2 linked regions of the Neurospora crassa OR74A genome follow. The protein of the gene in region 1 interacts with the protein of each later gene in a pairwise test. Links are inferred from orthologs where the notes say so. Each region holds a gene or a part of one and is shown on either strand. Other genes may lie near its edges.

Region 1 (10,854 bases):
TGGCGGCGAGGCGGGGGGAGGTGCGGGTGGGTTTGGTGGCGGATGTGAGAGCCAGGGCGCGGGCGGCAGTAGCACCCGGACGCGCTGGGGTTTGGAGCGGATGGCGGGACGATCCGGCCTGAGCAGCAGCGGAAGGACCAGCGCCGTTGGGGTTGGAGGCAAAGGGGATCTGGTTGCCCTTTTGGAATTGGGCCGTGTCCAGTGCGTGACCCGTCTTGATTTGGTTGACGGTGGTCTTCTTGAAGAGGTCGACTGTCCTTGAGGGAGGGGGAGGGGCGTGCGGTACGTTGGTATAGTTGGAGGCGAAAATCGACTTGCCTGTCGTGGTAGTAGTCGACAAATCCTTCTTGAACCCAACCGAGGGTTGTCTAACGGCTGCCGACGGCCTCACACCCGAAGGCCGGACCGCAGAAGGCCGGACGGGTGCCCCCCTGATGCTCCTCTGCTGCTTGGTGTTACCCTCAGCCATCTCGATATCCGCATCAAAGTCCTCAGACACGCGAATCCGCTTCGAATCCTGATGGGCCTCTTGCACCTGCGTCAACGGACGCTTGGAAGCCGCCTTGCCCAGCACAGCATTGACTGGTCGGCTATCGTGCAGCGCCGGCCCAAGACGAGAATTAGGTCTCGAAGGTTGCCTGCTCTCCGCCAAGTGATCCGGAGGACCGTTAGGCTGGGACCTTGGCGGCGGGGGCGGCGCACGGGTCCGTTTGGCTTGCTCAATCGCGGCCTTCTTAGCTGCCGCAGCTTGCTTGCGCTGCTCTTCCTCCTTCATCTCAGCCCTCTTGCGCTCATTTTCCGCCTTCTGATCACGCCTGCGCTGGATCTCGCGCTCCTCTTGCTCCTTTTGTTTGGCCGCCAGCTCCAACGCTTTGGGCCGCCCGACAGTCAAAGAATAAGACCCCTTAAGACTCTGCAGGGAAGGCTTCTTGGTGAGCGATGACGTGCTGGCCTTGCTTACAAGTTGCTGCCTTCCGTGCGACTGACCGAGGCTCTCCTGGCTGGTGGTGCTGAGAACACTGTTGGTCGAAGTGTGGAACGCTCCCTGCTGGGAGCTGGTGGTGTTGACGCGGATGCGAGTCGGGGCGGGCTTGGCCCTCGTCAAGGCCTCCTTCGTGGGTCTGATAGGTCGCTTGATACCCGTGCCACGGGAGGCTTGAGCAGATGGAGGTCGAGGAATTGACTGAGGTGCCTTTGTGGAGATAGTAACGTCTCCCATGTCGACATCGGCTTCCTCCTTTTCGGCTTCACCCTGCTTGGCTCCTCTGCGAAGACTAGTCCGAGTAGCTTTCTTGGGGCTCTTGGGTGCCGATTTGAAAGGTCCTGGTGTCTCGAACAACTGCTTGGACTGCGGTCGTGCCTTGGTAAGCTTGTGTTGTTGTTCCTGCTCCCTCTGTTCAGCAGCGCGTCTCTCCATCTCCGCCTGTCTCTCTTGTTCTTGTTGGAAGAGACGGGCCTTTTCCGCTTCCTTCTCGCGCATCTTCTCCAGCTTCTCATTCTGCTTGGCATATGTCTTGGCATATTGCTTGGCCTCCTTCTCTTCCCTCTTCTTTTCCTTCTCCCTTTCCTCTGCCTCCTTTCGTTCCCTCTCGGTCGACGCTCGGGTTTTTCTCGTGGGTCGGATGGGGGTGGCGGCTACGGGGGCTTCGGCCTGTGCATGGTGAGATAGATCAGGATAGACGACATTATCGGCTGTCTTGAAGGAAGCTTCGGATAAACTGGGATGTTCTTCCAGTCGAGCAGTTGAGGGAGTCGTGAAGAGCCCCGTCAGTTTTGCTTCGGCATTTGAATGTGCACTGGTTGGGAGAAGTCCCTTGGATGATTTCATAAGGGACGAAAACTTGTTCTTGACCCTCTCCAGCGTGTTCTCGCGGAATGCCTTGGAGGGGGACTTGAAGGGCGAAGGAGGTTCGTGCGCTGGCATTTCGGGGAGGTTGGAAGTAGAGACAGATGCCTCTTTCTTGGGGCTGGCGGTTTTTGGCACGGGAGGCTCGTGCAAACTGGGTAGCGTGGGAACAGAAGCCGATTTGACATGTGTTGTTGAGGAAGACGCAGCAGGTGGTTCCTGGATGATGGGCGCTTTACTTGGTGACTCGTGCCTGTTCTCCATGAAGGATTCTCCAAGGGTCGGAGATGCCTCCCTTGCGAATAAGTTCATTCCTTCCATTGGCTGACTTAACCGTGTGTCTTTGCGCGCGTTCCACACCATGGGGGTAGACATATCCGCTCCCTTGCTAGGAGGTCCAATCCAGTCGTCATCATCGTCCAGCGGGAATGCTCCCGGTGTGGGAAATGCCCTGGGAGTAACCACGGGTGGCTTCTTGGGTGAGGATCTGGTGGGCTCCGGAACGGGCTGTGTCGTCGGTGCCTGTGAAGTGGATGCGTGTTGTTGCGTCGGCAAGAGGTGGGCTATCGATTTCGATGGTCTCGGTCCCATTGACTGTCCCTTGCCCAACATGTTGATCTGATCCTGCAATCGCTGCGTGTATGATTTGGCAGTCCTGGGTTCCTGGGTATGATCATCATCAATGTCCATCTCATCGTCGTCATCATCGAAATCCTGTCGGGTAGTATGGCCAAGACTCTTTCCTCCCGTCTGGCGATGGTAGAAGGAGGTTCGCGTTACGTCGACGTGGCTCGTCCTCGACATCCTAGTACCGAGGCTCTTCTTAGAGGTCATCGGCTCGCGTGCGGGAAGTGATGCAAAGTTCAGACTGCTCAGGCGCTTAACCGGGCTAATGGGGCTGGAGGCTTCCATGGACGAGTTGGCGTCATCGTCCACCTTGTCGTCCGCCTGGTCGTCCGCATGATCCTTCTCTGACTGGGCGTGTACAAAGGGCGCCGGAGTCTTGGGTTGCTGTTCAGTGACTGGCTCTGTCTCTGGCGATCTCTTTTTTGGTGACAGGACGGGAGCGCTATCCACAGGTGATTCCTCCTTTTCAAGCTCCGGAGTCTTTTCGGGGGAGGGAATCTTCTCTGGTGAAGGATCCTTCTGGGGAGAGGCCACCTTGACCGGGGAAACCCTCTTCTCGGGGGAAAGGCGCTTTTCTGGCGATGCGAGCTTCTGAGGCGAGGCAGCCTTTTGGGGGGAGGGCGCATGGATAGACCTGGTGGGCGACGGAATGAGCATGTGGACTGGGCTGCTAGACCTAATCACATCAGGCTCGGGCGAAAGAAGTCGAGGGTATTGAACGGTAGGCTCAACAGGTTCTTCTGAAGGTGTTGTGGTTCGTAGTAGTTCGGCCGTCTCCTGTGGTGCGGGACTGGCGTGCTGCTCCGGCTCGGTGGGGGCTGGCTGAACCCCCAGATCCTGTGACTCTATCTCCTGCTGCTCTGGTTCCTCCTGCGTCGGTTCCTGGTTGAGCTCATTTGACGGCTGTATTGATTCCTCTGTCTGCTCCTGTGTGGGCTCTTGTGGAGGTTGTTGTTGTGGTAGCTCCTGCGCCGACTGCTGAGTGAGTTCCATGGTCGGCTCGTGTGCTGATTCTCCCATATCGACATCGACATCGACATCGGCATTGGCATTGGCATCGGCAACCTTTCCGACCTCGTCCACATCCATAATATCCAGCTGTTGACTGCCATAGTATCCAGAATCAGAGGGCTTGACCGGGGTAGGCGACTTGGAAAGAATTGGTAGGGGGGAGCCATTGAGATGTTTGATTGGGCTTCTGACTTTGGACGGGGTAGCGGCAACTGGCTTTGCTGGACTTGCGGGTGGTGGTCGCATGGGCGTGGTGTTGTTTGGCCTGACTGGGCTCGGTTGTCGTGATGGCGCGGCAACGCTCTTGACTGGGCTTGGCGACTTTGCGGCAGCTGATTTTCGCGGGCTCGCACGGCGCGTCGAGGGAGTCGTGGGATTCTTGGGGACATCATCGGCTTCGTCATCAGCTTCGACGTCGGCTTCCGGCGTATCGGGCCTGATCTTGGGCGTCCATGACGAGTTGTTCGCGGGCGGCGCGAGGACGAAGGGATTAGGTGTCACACCCTTGGGCGTCGCTGAGAAGATGCTGGCCAAGGGCTGCTGTGGGTTAGAACAAAATCAATCAATCAATCAATCACTCTTGGTCGCCCGTCGCAGAAGAATGATGGACGCTGTCTGGATGCTTACCACTCTCACTTCGGTATTGGGCCCTTTGCGAATTGTCCGCGGTGTCTTGCCTCGTGGTCGTGCTGGCGTTTTGAAGATTTCGGCAATGTTCCTGTTCCTGGTCAGCGAGACAAAGAGAGGGAAATAAAACAAAGACAACGCACATTTGGTTCTCGCCCAAGAAAATGTCCTCCATGTGCTCGTTCAGCCAGTCCATCTCATTGCGCGCCGCATACGAGAACTCTTCGACTTCCTCCTCTGCCACCTTGAGCGCCGATGCGCGCTCTTCTGCAACCCACGCTGCCGAGCCGACGGGCAGACGTGGTGCCTTGCGCATCGCCATTTTTGCTGTTTGTTTACTTTGGCGCCAAAAGTCAACAAACCGGATTTGGGGATGTGGGGAAAGCTCTAAAAAAAAAAAAAACCCCCAAGCAATGATCGGAAAAGAAAGGAATGGCAACAAGTGAGATGTTCAAAGCATTGGTATGATTAGTTGGTCAAAGAAAGGGAGGGAGGTGGGCGACGAGGCTGGCGATGTGGTATAATGGTGGTTGTCGGAGGGATGACGGGATTGCGTCGATCGAGTCAAAGCAACAAAGAGAAAGTCAAAGTCAAACAAACCAAGTAAAAAGCGAGGGATCGGAGACCTGACCTGACCTGACCTGGGATGGAGTTCCTGTTGCCGGAGCAAATTCCCTTGTCTTGGTTTCAATTGTTAGTACCCAATCCGCTCCAGTCTTTGTTTTGGTTGATGCCCAAAAGGGAATAGTCTGGGCTGAGGGGAGCGAAGAGGTGGGGCTTCTGTTTCCACTGCACTGTTGCAGCGCTTTTGTGCCTGGAAACTGAAGGCCCCAGAACACACCCCCGCTGCACGCCTTCCCGTCGCCAATTCACGTGCAGGCCCTGTCATTACCGTATCGTGGGCACAATCAATACCGTCATGGAGAGATCAAAGGTCTGCAAGTAAGAGGTTGGCCACAAAGAGCTGTAAATGTTGAATAATGGCAGTGCAGATGTTCAGAGAGCCATGTTTAACTTGAAACAAAAACACCAACTGAAAGAGCAATTCCCAGGGAAAAGATCCCGAGTGCTAGATACCCGGGTCACTCTTCGGTATTCTTGCTGACCCTCGGCCAGTTTGTGTAAATACAGTGTAATGGAATTCTCCTCCTCGACAAAGTCGCGACCAGTCTCGTCCGACTTGCAGACATCGCGTCTCACATCTTCCGTCTCTTCTACAATACTACTTCCAGGCTTCCAGGTAGAACGAAGGCAGCCATCACCACCAACAAAGTACTCGGATACCCTTCAGTACAACCGACATTATCATGGACGTCTTTGGCGATGAAGCCTTCAACGTCCCCGACTCGACCGACTGGCTGGGCACGCCCCTCGCATGCCTGATGCCCGTCGAACAGGCTTTCCGCTGTCACGTATGCAAGGACTTTTACGACTCTCCCATGCTCACATCCTGCAATCACACCTTTTGCTCCTTGTGCATCCGAAGATGTCTGTCCGTCGACAGCAAGTGCCCGCTCTGTCGCGCCACCGACCAGGAATCCAAGCTCAGAGGCAACTGGGCTTTGCGCGAAGCCGTAGAAGCCTTCAAGAACTCCCGCAAAGTCCTTCTCGAGTTTGCTAGGACACCACCGACCATTCAGGCGATACTGCCAGACCAAGCAGGCCCCAGTTCGCCATCAAAACGAAAGGCGACCGAAATGGAGGGGCCAAAAGAGGAGGACCCAGAAAGCAAGAGGCCGAGGAGGTCAACCAGATCAACAAGAGCCCGAGCCGCCGAGTTGACAGCGGCAATACTACAAGAAGAGCAAGACACCACACCTTCAGCCGACCCGGATTACGTCGACCAACCACCCGGTTCGTTTCCCTCCTCCCGCTCCTCGTGGGTTGCTTCTATCATCATCATCATCACTGACCTCCCACCAGACGACGGCCTAGTAGCCTGCCCCATCTGCCTCACCCGCATGAAGGAACAGCAAGTCGACCGCCACCTCGACACCTCTTGTCCCGGTTCTCCCCAGGCCGCATCCAAACGACGACCGATCCCCGCTCAAACACCACAGCCATCGACCTTTCCATCCTTCAACACCCGCCTCACATCTCAAACCAACCAAAAACCACCCGAACGCCTCCCCGCCCTAGCCTACTCCATGCTGCGCGACACCGCCCTGCGCAAGAAACTCTCCGAACTCGGCCTCTCCACCCACGGTTCTCGCCAGCTCTTGGAGAAGCGCCACAAGGAGTGGATCACGCTTTGGAACGCCAACTGCGACTCTTCGCGACCCAAAAAGCGGTCCGAGTTACTTCGCGATCTAGACGAATGGGAACGGACAGTAGGGAATCCCGGCACAGCAGCAGGAGGAGGAGGGGGGCAGCAGGGACTCGGACTCATGGCGAGGGCGCAAGCTACTGGAGCGCAGATCAAGGACAAGGAGTTCGATGGCAAAGCTTGGGCAACTCGGTATGGAGGGAGTTTTGGGGATTTGATCAAGCAGGCCCGGCAGGGGATTAAGAGGCAGACTTTGGATGGTAATGGGGAGAAGGCGGATACCAAGGGTGGGGGTGGGGGTGAGGATGTTGGCCCAGCTGAACTTCCGACACTACAAGCGAGAGAGGGGGAAAGCAGTGCAGCGCCAACACGGATGGATATTGTCCCGCCATCAAGTCCACCACGACCGGGGCAGGTGGATGACGCGGATACAGAACACGACGGGCAAGCTCCTGGAAAGGATGCTATAGCAGAGGATACCGCCATGAGGGAACAAGTCATTCCCGGGACTCCAGACAAGGAACGGCAGTGGGAGACGTCACAGCAGCAGCAGCCACCAATACCTGGGGATGCTCAACTGAGTGGGATGAAGAAGCCAAATCCAGAGACATGTTAAGGCCGATGGATATATTATGACAGGCACTCTTTTCTCCTACTTTACTAATTTACCCTGTGTTCTGTATGACATTTGTAGTCCATCCGGACTAGACCCACTTAACCTCTACACTAAAACCCACCCCACCCCCAGAAGACCCACATTTCTGTGGGCCGGGTCCGCTGAAGGATGTCGACGGGGGGTAAAAGTGATAGAGACTACTTACCACAGGAACCTAGTGACACCTACCCCCAACGTAAACATCGCCCCCAGGATACGACTCCCCCTTCACCCCGCCTCTCAACTCCTCTCCCATGCCCGCCCCCTTCAAAATTCCCTCCTGCCGCTTCACCTCCCTCACCACCCTCTCCGGATACAAGACCAAAAACCCCGCCATCACCACCCCCATCGGCACCCCATCAAACACATAGACAAACCACTCATGACTTGCCACCACCCCGTCCGTTCCCCCCAAATACTCGGCCCCGCGCACCACACTCCTGACAACCAACATAGCCCCCGCCACCTCCATCACACCAAAATACCACAGCCATCTCACCCCAGGGTCCATCAGCATTGCCCGTGACCTGGTCGGGTTGCGGTGCAGGCGCACGTGTAGGCGGCCGCAGGTGAAGAGGAAGATACCCAGCGCGAGGAGCTGGACGCACAGGCCGATTAGGACAATGATCTTGCTCAGGCGTTGCGCCGACTCGGTGCCGCTTGCGGGGAGGACGGTGCCGATGAGCTGGGTGAAGATTGCGGCCACGTCGGCGAGGACGTAGAGCCGCGTCGGGGAGCAGGTGCAGAAGCTGTTGGTTGGTTGGCAATGGGCGGTTAGTGACGGGGGGTCGGGGAAATAGATGATGATGGGGCGGTACCAGGAGTAACAGCATCGGGCGCAGCAGCCGCGGTTGTTACGGCGCCCGTGGTTGGGTTTGGAGGTGCCCTCGAGGAGCGCCGTGGAGATGCGGCCGTAGGACATGTATAGGGAGGCGGCGAGGAGGGGAGGGGCGACGAGGAGGAGCATGTTCTGCAGCAGCCAGGGGTCGAGCTTTGTGGGGTCGGAGTGGGCGTAACTGCGTTCGAGGTAGCCGAAGACGAGGCCTGGTTGTTTGGGGGTTGGATGGTCAGGGAGATTGCGAGGTGGAAGAGACAGGAGAAGGCTTACAGATGCCACCGAGGATGAGGGGAATGCATCCCCACGCCCGGAGCCAGACAAAGTAGACGAGGTGCGCGAGGGTGGCCAAGGCGAACAAGGCGAGAAAGAGGTGCGCGGCAACGTTGCTGGGTCGGTATTCCCAAAAGACCACCACCATGGTCCCGTTGACCACAGGGCCGAAGGGCGGGCCATCGTTAAGCGTCATTGAGTTGGGGAGGGTAGTAGAGATGCCAGGTTTGGGAGTAGACGGAAAGGGATATCAAAAGCTGCTGCTAGCCCTTTGCTTGATAACGGAACACATGACCAACACAACAAATACAGGGCAAGTCATTCCTCGAGGGGGGTTATATACCGTCGAGAGACAGGTGAATCGCATTACTTTCAGTGCTGATCAAGATCTGAACAGACGGTACCCTGGCATTCCATTTGGATGCTCACAGCCCCCTCAGACGAAACTGCGTCGTGGGCTGTGGGGCGGGCGACTTACACGAGATGTGGATTCACGGGCTTCCCTTTTATTCGGCTTTGATTTTTCGCACTTGGATCCGAAAAATTCACAGCCAACCATCCATTACACCTCAATGTCAACTTACTGTAGCCTCCTTTCGCAGACGCCGCAGCTCCATTCAAGGGCTTCCCTTTATTCGGGTTTTATTTTTCGCACTTTGATCCGAAAAATCAATTCACACCCAATCTCAACTTACTGTGCTCTAGCCACCTTTCGCAGAAATGGCGGCGTCGTCATCGACCAGAAAGTCCATTCAACCTCACCGCAAATCACGCACCGGCTGTAGCTCTTGTAAACGCCGCAAAGTCAAGGTCAGTTTTTCACCCGTTACCTACACAACACACAAAGATGCTTCTCGCCTTTTACAAGCGCCGTTTCTCGACTCTTGCTGACCTCCCTCAGTGCGACGAAGAGAAGCCATGTAGCAATTGCATCCGCTTCGGCCTGCCCTGCAATCTCGTCCCAGAAAATGCCCATTTCGAACATGGTATTGTAGGACCTGCCGCTCCGACTCGACGAGGTCGGGGGCGGCCTCGGAAGAACTGGGCAGGTGAGTCAAACAGTGTGTGCGAGCCTTTGGGCTTCACTCCAAGCATTTTTTTTTCCCTGTCTTTTTCCTCCATGTCTCTTCTTCCATTTCATGCCCTTTTCTTTCCATGTCTTTCTTCTTTCCACGCCAGCTAACTCTCCGCTCAGATCCCCCACACTCCCAAAGCACACCATCCACCACCCCAACCTCCCCCCTCGACGACCCAACACCCCTCAACCAGCGGGCCTGTGTCCCGACGACGACGACAATCGACCTCAATATTACCCAAGCCGAACTCCTCCTCCACTTCACCACCACCACCGCCCCCTCCATCGGCGGCTGCGACAAGCACCCGCACCACCTCGCCTTCTGGACGCGCAACGCCCTGCACATCGGCCTCGCCCACCCCTTCGTCCTGCACCTCCTCCTCGCCGACACGGCGTTCCACCTCGCCTACCTGACAGCCACCCATCACCATGAGCAAGAAGAAGTGTTGCTGTTGCCTCCGCGCCGTAGCCATAGCGAATATCTCGCCCTCGCGCAGCAGCACCTGACGGAGGGGGTGTCGGGGTTCGCGGCAGAGCTTGCGCGGCCGGGGGAGGGGAATTGTGGGGCGCTGTATCTGGGCGCGGTGCTACTTTGTTTTTGCACGTTTGCGGATGGGCCGAGGGGGGACGGAGATTTGCTGGTGTGCAGTGTTGATGGGGATGGAGATGGAGATGAAGGGTGTGGTTTGGAAGAGGTCGGGGGTGGTGGTGTGAGCATGCCGTTCGTGTACGGCGTGCGGCTCATGCACCAGACTTTTCGTCCAGAGGTGTTGTTCGCCGGTTTGATGGAGCCGTTGGGGAGGGATCTGCCGCCGTCGCCTTTGGATACGCCCGTTTACGTAAGGGATGGGTTCCCGCGGGTGGAGTGGGAAGAGCAGTTGGATGGGCTACGGGAGTTTGTTGTGGCCAGGGCACAAGAAGGCGGCGCACCCAATGAAGGAGAACTCTCCAGGACGACAGCAGCCGTCGCCGTCCACGCCCTCGACAATCTCATCGGGATATACGCAGCAATATACGGGCGCCGCGGGCCAGACGGCGAGATCAGAGATGACGGCCCGCCTCACAACCAGTTCGTGTTTGGCTGGTTGTACCGTGTCGAGCCCGAGTTTGCGGCGTGCGTGAGGAGGTGCGACCCCAGCGCCCTGTTGGTCCTGGCGCACTATGCCGTGCTGCTGAATAGGCAGACGACTCCATCTGGCTGGTTTCTCAAAGGTTGGAAGGAGCACATTATTGCGAGGGTTGGCGTGCTTTTGGGGGAGAGTGAGACCAGCAAATGGATGCGTTGGCCGATGGAGCGGATTGCGCCGGAAGAAAAAGAGTAATCTTCTTGCTACACTATATTTCGTGCAATTAGACATGCACTCCTTCTTCCTCTTTCTTACACAAAAGTCTTTACATCTATTATAGGCGTCGTAACACCAAGCGGCTCGACTACCTCGCAATGAGCATTCGGGTCGACTTATTTACCTCCTATCTCCGTCTCTCAAGCTCTCTCCTCCATCTGGCACCGAATCTCCACTGCACCGCCAGCCCCAGCAGCGCGACGAGCTGAGCCACGACGCAGACGGTGAAGGCTAGCCCGACGCCAAGGGCATTGACCATGGGCATCACAGAGCTCGTACCGGCGGCGGCGAACAGG
Region 2 (11,286 bases), on another chromosome or scaffold:
TCATCCTTCTTTTTCTTCCAACCTTCCTACATTTCTCCCTCATTTGCGTTGTGGCAGATTTCAGTCCCAAATTCATATCATTATACTCGAAGAACACGCACTTGCTAAAAGACCAGAGAGCCATACAGGGTCACCTAATCAACGCCCTATTGTAGTTCCTTCCATTCGCAGTCGTGGCTGAGCGGGCAGTCAAGTCTTCAAACCAGACGTTGGCAAGACTCAAATAAGGAACACCACCTGAGGTTGTGGAAGGTGCTTCGACGATCCACTCGGCGTCAACCTAGCCCATGCCAGTCCAGTTAACGAGTGAAGTTTGACAGGAGGTTAGTATGACTTTAATGCTGATCTCTTTGCCAAAACTTAAATCCGTCGATCATCCAACTTTAAGGGAAAGATGAAGGAGGGCTTGGCACAGCCAACTAAAGGTTTAGGTACTAGCTCATGACCATATCGAGGTCTTGGGAGCCATAACAAATAGGGACAAGGTTGATAGCATCTCTAGAGTAGTATTTGCGGTTGGCCTATGAAATGTGCTGCTAAACTACCTACCTACCTCTACTGAATATCGACTTCGTGTGTAGGTAACATCCAGTCGAGTTGCTACAGTAGATTATAGGTTGATCCTCGTGACTGTATTGGTCACGTCATTCTTTGACTTCCTATTTCAGTAGTTGACCGACTGGAATGTCTCATACCTTGAGGTACCTAGGTTCCATCTCAACTCGTCGTAGTTCAAGAGGTAGAAGAGATGAAGAGAATGGTGGGCTGACATGGATCAAGTAACCACGGCTCGGCTCGTATTGACTTCATACCTACCTAACCGGCTCTAGCCACCACCACTGCCTGAGGTACCTAAGTAGGGCAATTACCGAGCTACTACAGTCCTTCTAAGTCGAATTTCCATGGTGGAAGACCGGCATGTTGTTACCTCTATCGACCGTTATCGCCATCAGCCGTTGTAATGAATATAAACAAACCTTTTATGTGAGCAAGCGAAGCAACCACCCGTGAAGGGCAAGACAGGTACCGTAGTTGTAAAGAATCTTTCTTTGACGCTGCACTTGCTTACTACCTTGTAGACACCCACAAGCTCGACGTCTCAACAAAGGGCCAACGCTCCATTCACTCTCGCTCTCATGCATTCCCCTTCCACATTCCCGCCCCAGCCTACTTGGCCGGCTCAACACTTTGCGGGTAGTAGAAAACCTCGTTCGGATCGTACTGCGCCTTCACCTTCTGCAGCCTGCTAAGGCTACTACGGTAATAGTTCCCCACAGCCTCGGCCCTCTTCATCGTGGGATCTGCGTAGTTAATGTACATTCCCCACTGCTCCTGTTTCATGTTATCCGTGAAGCTCTTCACCCAACCATCGAGGAAGCTGAAACCGTTGCTCGGATAGCTTCCAAACATCACACGATCATAGAGCTCATAAAGGAAGAGGTATTCCGGGGCGCGATAGGCGTAAGAGCTCGTGTAGTTGGCGGAATTGGTGGTGGAGGAGGTGATGGCGGACTTGGGACCGCCGTGCATGTCGATGATGATGAACCAGTCGCGCGAGACGCGCTTGGCGGTGTTGATCCAGTAGTTGGCGACGGAGTTCAGAGCCGCGGAAGGGAGGGCGGTGGTAACGAGGGATTTGGAGTAGAAGGTTTCGACCTGGCAAAAAATTAGTTGCTGGAGAAGAAAGAAAGAAACGAGAGGGAACCTACGGTGTTGTAAGGATGCGTAACGTCCACCGTGCCGCCATAGGTATAATAAGTAAACGCTCCCATCCAGTCGTACTGCTGCGCATTGCTCAAGCTCGCTCCTAGAGTGCTCAACAGGGGCTGCACAGCCGTCCGCAGCGCCGAGCTACTCCCGTGATACAAGCCCTGCAGTTGCGTCTGACTCGGCGAGCCGAAGACCCTCATGTTCATCTCCTTCGGCATATTGCCAGCCGCCAACCAGTCCTGGAGTTTTTCCCAGCCGGATGCAATCGACGACGCTGAGTTCCAGGGCAAGTTAATCTGGAAAGCCGTTACTTGCGAGGGCGCAGCGAAGGTGTTGAACTTGAAGGAAGCCACAATGCCAAAGTTGGACCCAGCGCCACGCAAAGCCCAGAAGAGGTCCGGGTTCTCGGTTGGCGATGCGGTCACTACAGTGCTGTTGGCAAGGACGACTGTGGCGGCGGCAATCCAGTCTACTGCAAGACCGTAGGTGTGCGAGGAAAAGCCAAAGCCGCCGTGGAGGGAGTGGCCTCCTACCCCGACTCTGTTTCCCTCCTTGGTTAGCCCCGGCCAAGCCAAGAAGTAAGGGCTTGACGAAAACGTACCCAGGACAAGTCCCATGCGAGAAAGCTCTTTTGCCCTGTTTATACAGCTCCGTCGCCACATGCCCCAGTCTCGCTCCCGATTGAACATCTGCGATATTCGTCGTCTTATCCAGCGTCACCTTCGACATGCGATCCAACTCCACGACCAGATGCCCGTTCTCTCCGCCCAGACCAAACGAAGCATAACTGTGCCCTCCTGACTTGGGGGTAACTTTAATTCCCAGCTTGGTGGCACAGGAGACGGCACCTTGGATGTGTTCAATGGTGGTAGGGACCGCGATGGCTACTGGCGTGTAGGGCAGGCGCTGGTTGAAAGGGTTGACGTCGGTACGCCACTCGGAGGAGCCTTGAGCATCGGCTGGAACGCCGGCAGATTTGAGGCAGTCGTCGATGGCGGCACGCTTGTTGAGTGGAGAGCTTAGGGGGTTGGCGAGGATGGGGGCCGCCGTGGCAGTGAGGAGGATGAGTGGAAGCCACATGATGGACGAGGTATTGGATCGGAGTAAAAACCTATTTAGTGGGATGGGACGACCAAGTCTGAAGCCTGGCGATGTACGGAAGGCAGCTCAGTAGGGATGATATAGCTTGGTGAGTGCTTCATCTTGTCGAACCGGTCATAAGATACTGGCCTATCGGAGCTGTTTCTGTTCTTTCCCCTTTTGGCACACAAGAGATGTTAAAAAATGGGATGAACATTAGGCCCTTCCAGCTTCCCACGGCTGGACATAATGAATTGCGGGGGTTATAACGCAAGAACACGGCATCAAGCTCCCCGGGGGGTTAGTCACTGAGCCGTCTCGGCGGTCTTTGACCGTGAGGTATTTGATACGGAGAGTTATGTGACTGTAGGGATCCCGTCGAGCCGTTGCGGATTAGAGATTCGGAGGGAGGCAGTGTGTGGAAGTTCGCCAGTGATTGGTCCGGCTAACATATCAGCCTACAGATTGCTTCCTTCACATATGCCAAGATTGATGAACATGTTCAGCAGTCATTCCAAGCTCTTGGCAACTTGGGCTGAATGACGTTGAAACAAAAGTTTGTACGGAATATGGACAAAGGACACGCGTCGGCACCTGTCAATGCGACCCTGCAACCTTGTCGAGGATTCTTGACGAGACCGAGGCGAGGGCGACTAGAACTACTAGCGAAATGCCAGCCCTGTAGTGGAAATCCTTCGGCGGAAGAGCAAGCCGCAGGGCCACTCACTATCTTGAAAACCGATTGCGAACGACGGTCTTTATTCTTGGTGATAGGCCAGAAGTTGGTGGGTGAGCTTGGGGGTGATTGGGCCTGAACGAAGATGGTTTGGGTGTTCGCAGAGGTACAATTATAGGCTAAAATGTAGCCGTTACCCATGTTCCCACTACTCAGGCCCGGCGAGAACACGCCACACGGAACGCTCTTACAAAGTGGTTGCTCTGCCCCAGATTGCAAGCAATATCGGTCTTGGTGATGGATGTTGTGCTTTCAACTACCACCATCTGCAAAGGGGTCATGTGCCTCTCTGTCGTACGATGGTCCTACCGAGACCATGTCAACACTTTGCCTCGAGGACGCTTCGTGCTGTTTCAAAGGGACAAGAAGACCTGGGCCGATGCTGTCGACGATTGCAGACTTTTGCCTATTCATGATAATCGGGCTAAGCGATAGTCACGGAGTGTACGCTCGCGGTCTCGATCGAGATCGATCCTGTGTCGTCACAGACGGTCAGCACCAAGAGTACGATACGTGATGGAAAGAAGAATCTCGATTGTGGCTCGTTGGCCTCGTATACGGCACAAACAGAGGACTCAAATGTGCTGTGTCTTTAGAGCACGCCACAACCTCCAGGGAAGCTTCCAGCTCGCCTTGACTTTGAACGGGTCGAAATCAGCCTTCTCCAACCTTTCCAAGTAATCGGCAGCCGGGACTGCTTCCAACAGCACCCCAAACCCCCTCTTGATATCAGCTTGTGTTGCGTCGACCCCACCGCTGGAGTAGATATGCTCTTGTTCTCCCTCATGCTCATAATCATGGCCCACCTCTTCCCCGGCCTTCAAGTTCTTCAACATCTCCCTCGCCGTTATCAAATGGTCATTGGCCCTTGTAGCCACCTTGAACACGGAATCCTGCAGTCCCTCAGCGTTGGGTCCGTGGCGAAAGACATCTTCTTCTCTGACCCCCACCTCGGCCATCACATCGAGGGGTAGTAGCAGGGCGGGATGCCGGGTGTTGCCCACGCTCCCAGCCGGACCCTGGATGGGCTGCGATGGAGCGGCGAGAACGGGAATGCCGCGTAGTGTGGCTACGATGCCGCACGCCTTGCCGATGTGACTAGCCAGGTGGTCCATATGTACTGATCGCAAAGGCATGGAAGCCAAGGTCACATACATCAGCGTCGCGTACGTATTCTCGGCGTAGTCTTCCAGCGAGTTCAAGCTGACAAAGGGCCTGTTTTCCATGTGTTGCTCGCGCGTGTTGATCAAGCGTAGGAGCCAGAACTTGAGAGAGCTGGCGCTGTTGGGGCCGGCGCGGGCTTTGAGGTCTTGGATGGCTTGGTGGAGGAGGATGGAGATGGGCTCGCGTGGGGGATTGCCGGCAAAGACGCTGTTCACGGTTTCACGCCAAAAGGACATGCGCATGCGTGCGATGGTCGGGTTGGAAACTGTCTCGGGGAGACGGGCAAGTTCGAGGTTCAGGGTACGGAGGGCGTTGTAGGCGTCCCGAGAGGAAGGAGGGACGAATTGTCGGAGGAGAAAAGCTTCGTAGTCACCATGTCTGGGGTGGGGGGAGAAAGAGTTAGCAGAGAAAGAAGGGCAAGTGGGAAGAATGGCTAGGTATGGGGAGGGAAAGCAGAGACAGACTTGAGCTGGTTCTCACAGTACTGACGGGCCTTTTCGACGTCGCCGTCTGTGACTGTCGCGAGGCCTCGTCCGGAGAGGGAAGGCTGCCACGAAGGCCTCTGAGGCTGGAGACGTAGACGGGGCCGTAGAGGTGCCCGCCCCAGGCCATGACAACAACCTGCCGCTCGAGGGGATATCATGATCAAAGAAGCGGTACTGTTTTCCCCGCTGTCACAAAGTGGTTCACATCTCTCACTGTAACAAGAGACAAGACAACCTCGGCAGCAGCGGGGAGGAAGACAAGCCGACGACGACAGGACATGTTGATTTGACAATTCGCTGAGACCATGTTACGCTGCGCCCCTCAGCATCACAAGCGCGGCGCCTCTAAAGCCTTTATGGTTAGCAGCGATGACGGCATTAAATGGCTTCAGTGGCCCAAGCTTCTGGCTTTCCATACAATCCAGTACTGGTTTGCTTGTTAGTTCGAGACCTCGCATCAACTTTCCGATGCGTTTTCATAGCTAATCAATGCGTGATCTTACCATGGATACACCATTTGTAATATTCTGAATGCCATATCAAATAGTACTAATATCTTTTAACCTTTATACCAACTATTTCGATCTCTTCTTAGAGGGTTTAGGACTAATTGGGATAGATTAGGTTTCGTCTAGTGTATAGAGTATGGTACAGTACCTAGTGTACCCAGCTAACAAACAACCCAGCACTGGACTGTACACTGCAGAGGGCGTAATTAATTACCTCTAGGGTGGCGCGCAATCACCTGACAGCGGGAAGGCGGAAACGAATGCACGCCAAAGTTTCACGGTTGCCACGGCACAGTCGCGTCTCACAGGCGCAACACTGAAGTTCACCATTGCAGTTGGTGCATTCGAGTCGGTTGGGTGACAGTAGCTGACTGATACCGTACACCCGTGGTACGACTACCTAGAGGTACTGTACCTACCTTGAACCTAATGGGCTGAACAACCAACACCTGGATGGACCGACACGACACCATGGACTTCACCAACGAGCCTCTCTCCAAGAAGCGCCGGTTCCTGGGCGACCAGGGTGATTCGGACCATGTCGCTGGCGGCCCCAGCTCGTCTCCCCAGTTCAGTGCTCCCCCGAGCTCACCACCCAGGAAGAAACTCCTCCAAGACCCAAACAGTGAAGTCCAGCCACGAGTTTCCAAAGATGCGGACCACAATGACGACGACGACGACGACGACGACGACGACGACGAAGAACGCCCAAGATTCTTCACAGACGATGGCACCCTAACGCCCCACGCCACGAAGATATGTGCTCCCTGGCTCAACGACATGCCCAAACCAGACCCTAGAAAAGGATATCTCTTGAAAGACGTCGATACTCCGATCGCGACACCCCGGGACGTGGCACCCCCAGTGGTCGAGTCCCCCCAGCTGGCCTTCGACAAAGACACATTCGAAGCTTTTGTTGGCGAAAAGGTTGCGTCCGATATCCTCCACGTCATCAGCAAGAACTGCGGCAACAACATCGAAAGAGCCGTCAACATGTACCTGGATGGAACATGGAAAAAGCTGCACCGGGCGCCTCCAGTCAGAGTCAACTCGCATTCGCCCCTGGTTGTAGGAGGTCAGTCTCCCAAGAAATCATCAACATCACAAGCACGGTCCCGGTCGCACGCTCAAGCCCAACCACAGCCGCAATCGAACACACCAACAAAGGTTCTCCCATCAATGCCAGACGCCCGCTACGTCGGCGCATTTGGTGTTGAGGGATGGGCTACCAGAAGCGGGACAGGCCTCCTCAGACACGGTGACAGCGTCAAGATTGAGCGCCAAAAGATCCAACCACCTACCGTTGCAAGAAAAGGGCAGACCAAGCCTGGCACCCCGCAGTCCATACCACGAGTCAGCGCGGCAGCTGCCAAACGTGTCGATGTCATAGTCCGCTTCAACGACGCCAGTGGCAGGGAACTCGGCCGTCTAGCCAAAGACACAGCCAACTGGGTGTCAACGCTAATAGACCAGAACATCTGCAGATTCGAAGGCATCTGTGTTTACGCGCCCGAGCGTCTACGAACGAACGAGACCGTCTTCTTGCAGCTCAAGTGCTACATGCTACGGTCTGCCTTCTTGGGGAGAACCCTCCAACTAGCCGACAATAGGGCTGCCGGGTTCCACGAGAAAGACGAGACAACAGAAGAGAAGGACCTGCGACTGAGACAAGTGGCGCTTGTCAGACTGTTTCAAGAGATCAACATTGTTCCGTCTCGAGGCAACGCCGCTGCCGCCAAGGACGCCAGGAAAGACCTTCTTGAAGCAGCAGATTCGGCCGAGAAGAAGGCGATGGACAAGGCCAAGGCTGGGGACCACAACACTAACGGATTAGCTTCTCCCCCCGAAGAGGCCGAAGAGGGCCAGGAGCTCGAACAAGACCAACTCGACGCGCTGTACAAGAAGGCCCAATCCTTCGACTTTAGCACCCCCGAGGCTGAACCAGCTAATACCTTCGCCATGACCTTGCGTCCCTACCAGAAGCAGTCGCTGTACTGGATGCTGGCCAAGGAGAAGAACCAGCGAACAGAAGACCGTGAAACATCCATGCATCCCCTATGGGAAGAGTACGTGTGGCCGACCAAGGACCATGACGATAAGGACCTACCTGTGGTTCCTGACCAACCTTGCTTCTACGTCAACCCATACTCTGGCGATCTGTCACTGGACTTCCCCAAACAAGAGCAGCATTGTCTTGGTGGAATCTTGGCAGACGAGATGGGACTTGGTGGGTTTGCCTTTTACATTTTTCTTTTCTCTTTGACCTGATATCCAGCTCACAGTCATGTATCACAGGCAAAACCATCCAGATGCTTTCCCTGATCCATTCTCACCGATCCGAAGTAGCCATCAAGGCGCGGGAGGCTGGCCCTACCTCGGTCAACAACCTCCCACGCCTACCAACAGTCTCTGGACAGAAGACGACAATTGACGCTCCGTGCACAACCCTTGTGGTTGCCCCCATGTCCTTGCTGGCGCAATGGCAAAGCGAAGCTGAGAATGCTTCCAAGGAGGGCACGTTCAAGACCATGATGTACTACGGGGCGGAAAAGAATGTCGATCTGGTGACCATGTGCTGCGAAGCCAACGCGGCCAACGCTCCAGATGTGATCATCACCAGCTATGGAGTCGTCCTCTCCGAGTTTACCCAACTCGCCACCAAGAATGGAGACAGACTCAGCAGCCGCGGGCTTTTCTCCCTCAACTTCTTCCGTGTCATTCTGGACGAAGCACATAATATCAAGAACCGCCAAGCTAAGACCTCCCGCGCATGCTACGAAATTGCCGCCGAACACCGCTGGGTCCTCACCGGAACCCCCATTGTCAATCGCCTCGAAGACCTCTTCAGCCTGGTCCGTTTCCTACGCGTTGAGCCATGGAACAATTTTTCCTTCTGGCGGACCTTCATCACCGTCCCCTTTGAGTCCAAGAACTTTGTCCGCGCCTTAGACGTCGTCCAAACCGTCCTCGAACCGCTCGTCATGCGCCGCACCAAAGACATGAAGACCCCGGATGGCCAGTTCCTTGTTCCGCTTCCGCCCAAACACATCGAGATCGTCGACATCGAACTCTCCGAGCCTGAAAGGGCAGTCTACGACTACGTCTTCAACCGCGCCAAGCGAACGCTCTTTGACAATATGCAGGCCGGCACCGTCATGAAGGCGTTTACCTCCATTTTTGCACAGATCTTGCGGCTCCGGCAGTCCTGCTGTCACCCTGTGCTTGTTCGCAACCAGGAGATCCTCGCTGATGAGGAGGAAGCCAATATGGCCGCTGACGTTGCGGCGGGTTTGGCAGACGATATGGATCTCCAAACTCTGATCGAGCGCTTCACCGCCACCACAGACGACGCCTCCAAAACCAACAACAACTTCGGCGCTCACGTTCTTAGACAGATCCGTGACGAAGCAGTCAACGAATGCCCCATCTGCGCCGAAGAACCAATGATCGACCAGGCCGTGACAGGATGCTGGCATTCTGCGTGCAAGAAATGTCTGCTCGACTATATCAAACATCAAACCGACCGTAACGAGGTCCCGCGGTGTTTCCAATGTCGCGAGCACATCAACATCCGCGACATCTTCGAAGTCATCCGCCACGATGATGACCTGGAGACATCCTCTACCCCAGGGGCAAGTCCCGAGCCGCGCATCTCCCTACAACGCGTGGGCGCCAATGACTCCAGCGCCAAAATCGTCGCTCTAATCTCACACCTCCGCACCTTGCGTCAAGAGCACCCCAAAATGAAGTCCCTCGTAATTTCCCAATTCACATCCTTTCTCTCGCTGATATCCTCCGCCCTCACACGTCACAAGATCTCTTTTCTTCGGCTGGATGGGTCCATGTCCCAGAAGGCCCGCGCCGCTGTTCTTACCGAGTTTCAATCCACCAACAAGTTTTGCGTTTTGCTTCTCAGTCTCAAAGCGGGTGGTGTCGGGTTGAACCTGACCAGTGCCAAGAGGGTCTACATGATGGACCCGTGGTGGTCCTTTGCGGTGGAGGCGCAGGCGATTGATCGTGTGCATCGCATGGGGCAAGAGGATGAGGTGAGGGTTTATCGATTTATAGTGAAACAGAGTGTGGAAATGAGGATGTTGCGGGTGCAGGAGAGGAAAAAGTTTATGTGAGTTTGTCCCCGATCAGTGATTTAATGACATTGACTGGAGGTAGGTAAAAGGCTAACCTGATTTGACTGCAGAGCAACATCACTGGGGATGATGTCAGACGAGGAAAAGAAGATGCAGAGGATCGAGGATATCAAGGAGCTGTTGAGCTCAGACTAAGCGTATCGATATGTATGCCGGATGTCAGGGGAAACTGCAATCCAATCCATTTTCGTTGTTAGGCGTCCCGAGGTCCTTTTCTTGCATGCAGCGGCGTCGGTATACTTACCTATCTCGTACATAGGGCCATCTCAGGTCTTCATAGAGCAATAGAATCGCGCATACCAGAGCCCCAATTCTAACGTTGGCACCAAGCAGGTCAAGCGACCCGGAGGTGTAGGTGACTCTACGACTACGGGGAAAGCGTGGAAACTTCTGAGTTTTGGAAATCTGGATGGTCGGGTCGTTATGATTGTCGCCATCAAAGTTGACAAACCAAGGTGCCTTGTTCCTGACATTGTTACTGAAACCTTGGACTTGAAACCTTTGACATTATACCTTGTGTTTACGCTTACTACGCACCCGAGCATCTCCAATATACCTTGAAACTCAATGTTTAGGCAATGCCTGGATAGAGATATCCCAGAGGGACTCTAGCCGTTGTGTTTTCGAGTAGGCTTCAGCGGTACTCCCACACACTGTATTCCAAAATATTCGGTGGGCTTAAAGCCTTGCATTTCGTTGTGCGGACTGGAGACGGGTATGCTTGATGATGTAAATGAGGACATCTTTCTGGAACATGGACCGTAGACGTGGAAAGGGCTGGCACATATGGGCAAGGAAGTTGCTAATGCAATCCACATCAAGAACAGGTTCGATGTACGACATGCATGGCGCCACTGGATAATGAGCCAGGCCGTCAAGGTTCCCTTTCGCTTGAAATTGTTTGGTCAGTGTGCAGCATGCTCATCGATGTCCTTGGAGAAGATCGCTACAGCCGACGAAACGGTAACCAACAAACATATCAGTTAACGAAGAATCTTCCAGCTGGCGTCCAGTGGCGAGCCAAATCCTGCAGCGTTACAGGCGAGGCAATTCCAGCTGTCCACCAGCTTGCTCAGTTACAACCCGCCTGGCCGCCTTCAGTTGCATGCCACTCGGATCAGGCATATCCGGGTCAATCACCCGTCGGCTGCCGTCGTTGGTGGCACGAGCCGCGTGCGTGGCTGGTTGGTTGCCGTTGGCGGACATGGGGACGTCGGTTGCCGTCGGGTGGCTGAAAGAAACATGTTCTGGAATACTTGTTCGCGCGGTGTAACGTTGGGGTCGTGATGTCCTTCGGTCCAAGGACGGAAACAAGACTTGATCGCAAATTTCCAGTATGCCGTCAAGGTCCTCCTCGTAAGTTACGAATCAGGACACGAGCTCGGCTGCAGACGTGTCTCATGCTGGTGGCTCTCATGTGCGTGTCGACAGCGTACGGTATGTACCTTGCAGTC

What was found.
Region 2: the proteins of uvs-2 (region 1) and mus-41 interact in a two-hybrid assay, tested with the Saccharomyces cerevisiae proteins (4 studies listed by BioGRID). The link is inferred for Neurospora crassa OR74A from reciprocal best matches to the Saccharomyces cerevisiae genes RAD18 and RAD5.

What each region holds. Positions count from the first base shown.
Region 1 is NC_026504.1:5,736,742-5,747,595, forward strand, and holds uvs-2 (postreplication repair E3 ubiquitin-protein ligase rad-18), read left to right. Parts: upstream 1-5,242; 5' UTR 5,243-5,418; coding exon 5,419-5,965; intron 5,966-6,034; coding exon 6,035-6,993; 3' UTR 6,994-7,052; downstream 7,053-10,854. Other genes in the region: NCU05211 (hypothetical protein), read right to left, coding at 1-4,021, 4,112-4,202, 4,255-4,433; NCU05209 (hypothetical protein), read right to left, coding at 7,208-8,076, 8,141-8,336; NCU05208 (hypothetical protein), read left to right, coding at 8,861-8,950, 9,042-9,189, 9,336-10,537; NCU05207 (MFS multidrug transporter), read right to left, coding at 10,686-10,854. UniProt on the Saccharomyces cerevisiae protein: E3 RING-finger protein, member of the UBC2/RAD6 epistasis group. Associates to the E2 ubiquitin conjugating enzyme UBC2/RAD6 to form the UBC2-RAD18 ubiquitin ligase complex involved in postreplicative repair (PRR) of damaged DNA.
Region 2 is NC_026503.1:31,741-43,026, forward strand, and holds mus-41 (DNA repair protein rad-5), read left to right. Parts: upstream 1-5,951; 5' UTR 5,952-6,137; coding exon 6,138-7,911; intron 7,912-7,979; coding exon 7,980-9,807; intron 9,808-9,882; coding exon 9,883-9,967; 3' UTR 9,968-10,137; downstream 10,138-11,286. Other genes in the region: NCU09518 (glucooligosaccharide oxidase), read right to left, coding at 1,168-1,656, 1,710-2,250, 2,312-2,790; NCU09517 (hypothetical protein), read right to left, coding at 4,102-5,068, 5,155-5,333. UniProt on the Saccharomyces cerevisiae protein: Probable helicase, member of the UBC2/RAD6 epistasis group. Functions with the DNA repair protein RAD18 in error-free postreplication DNA repair.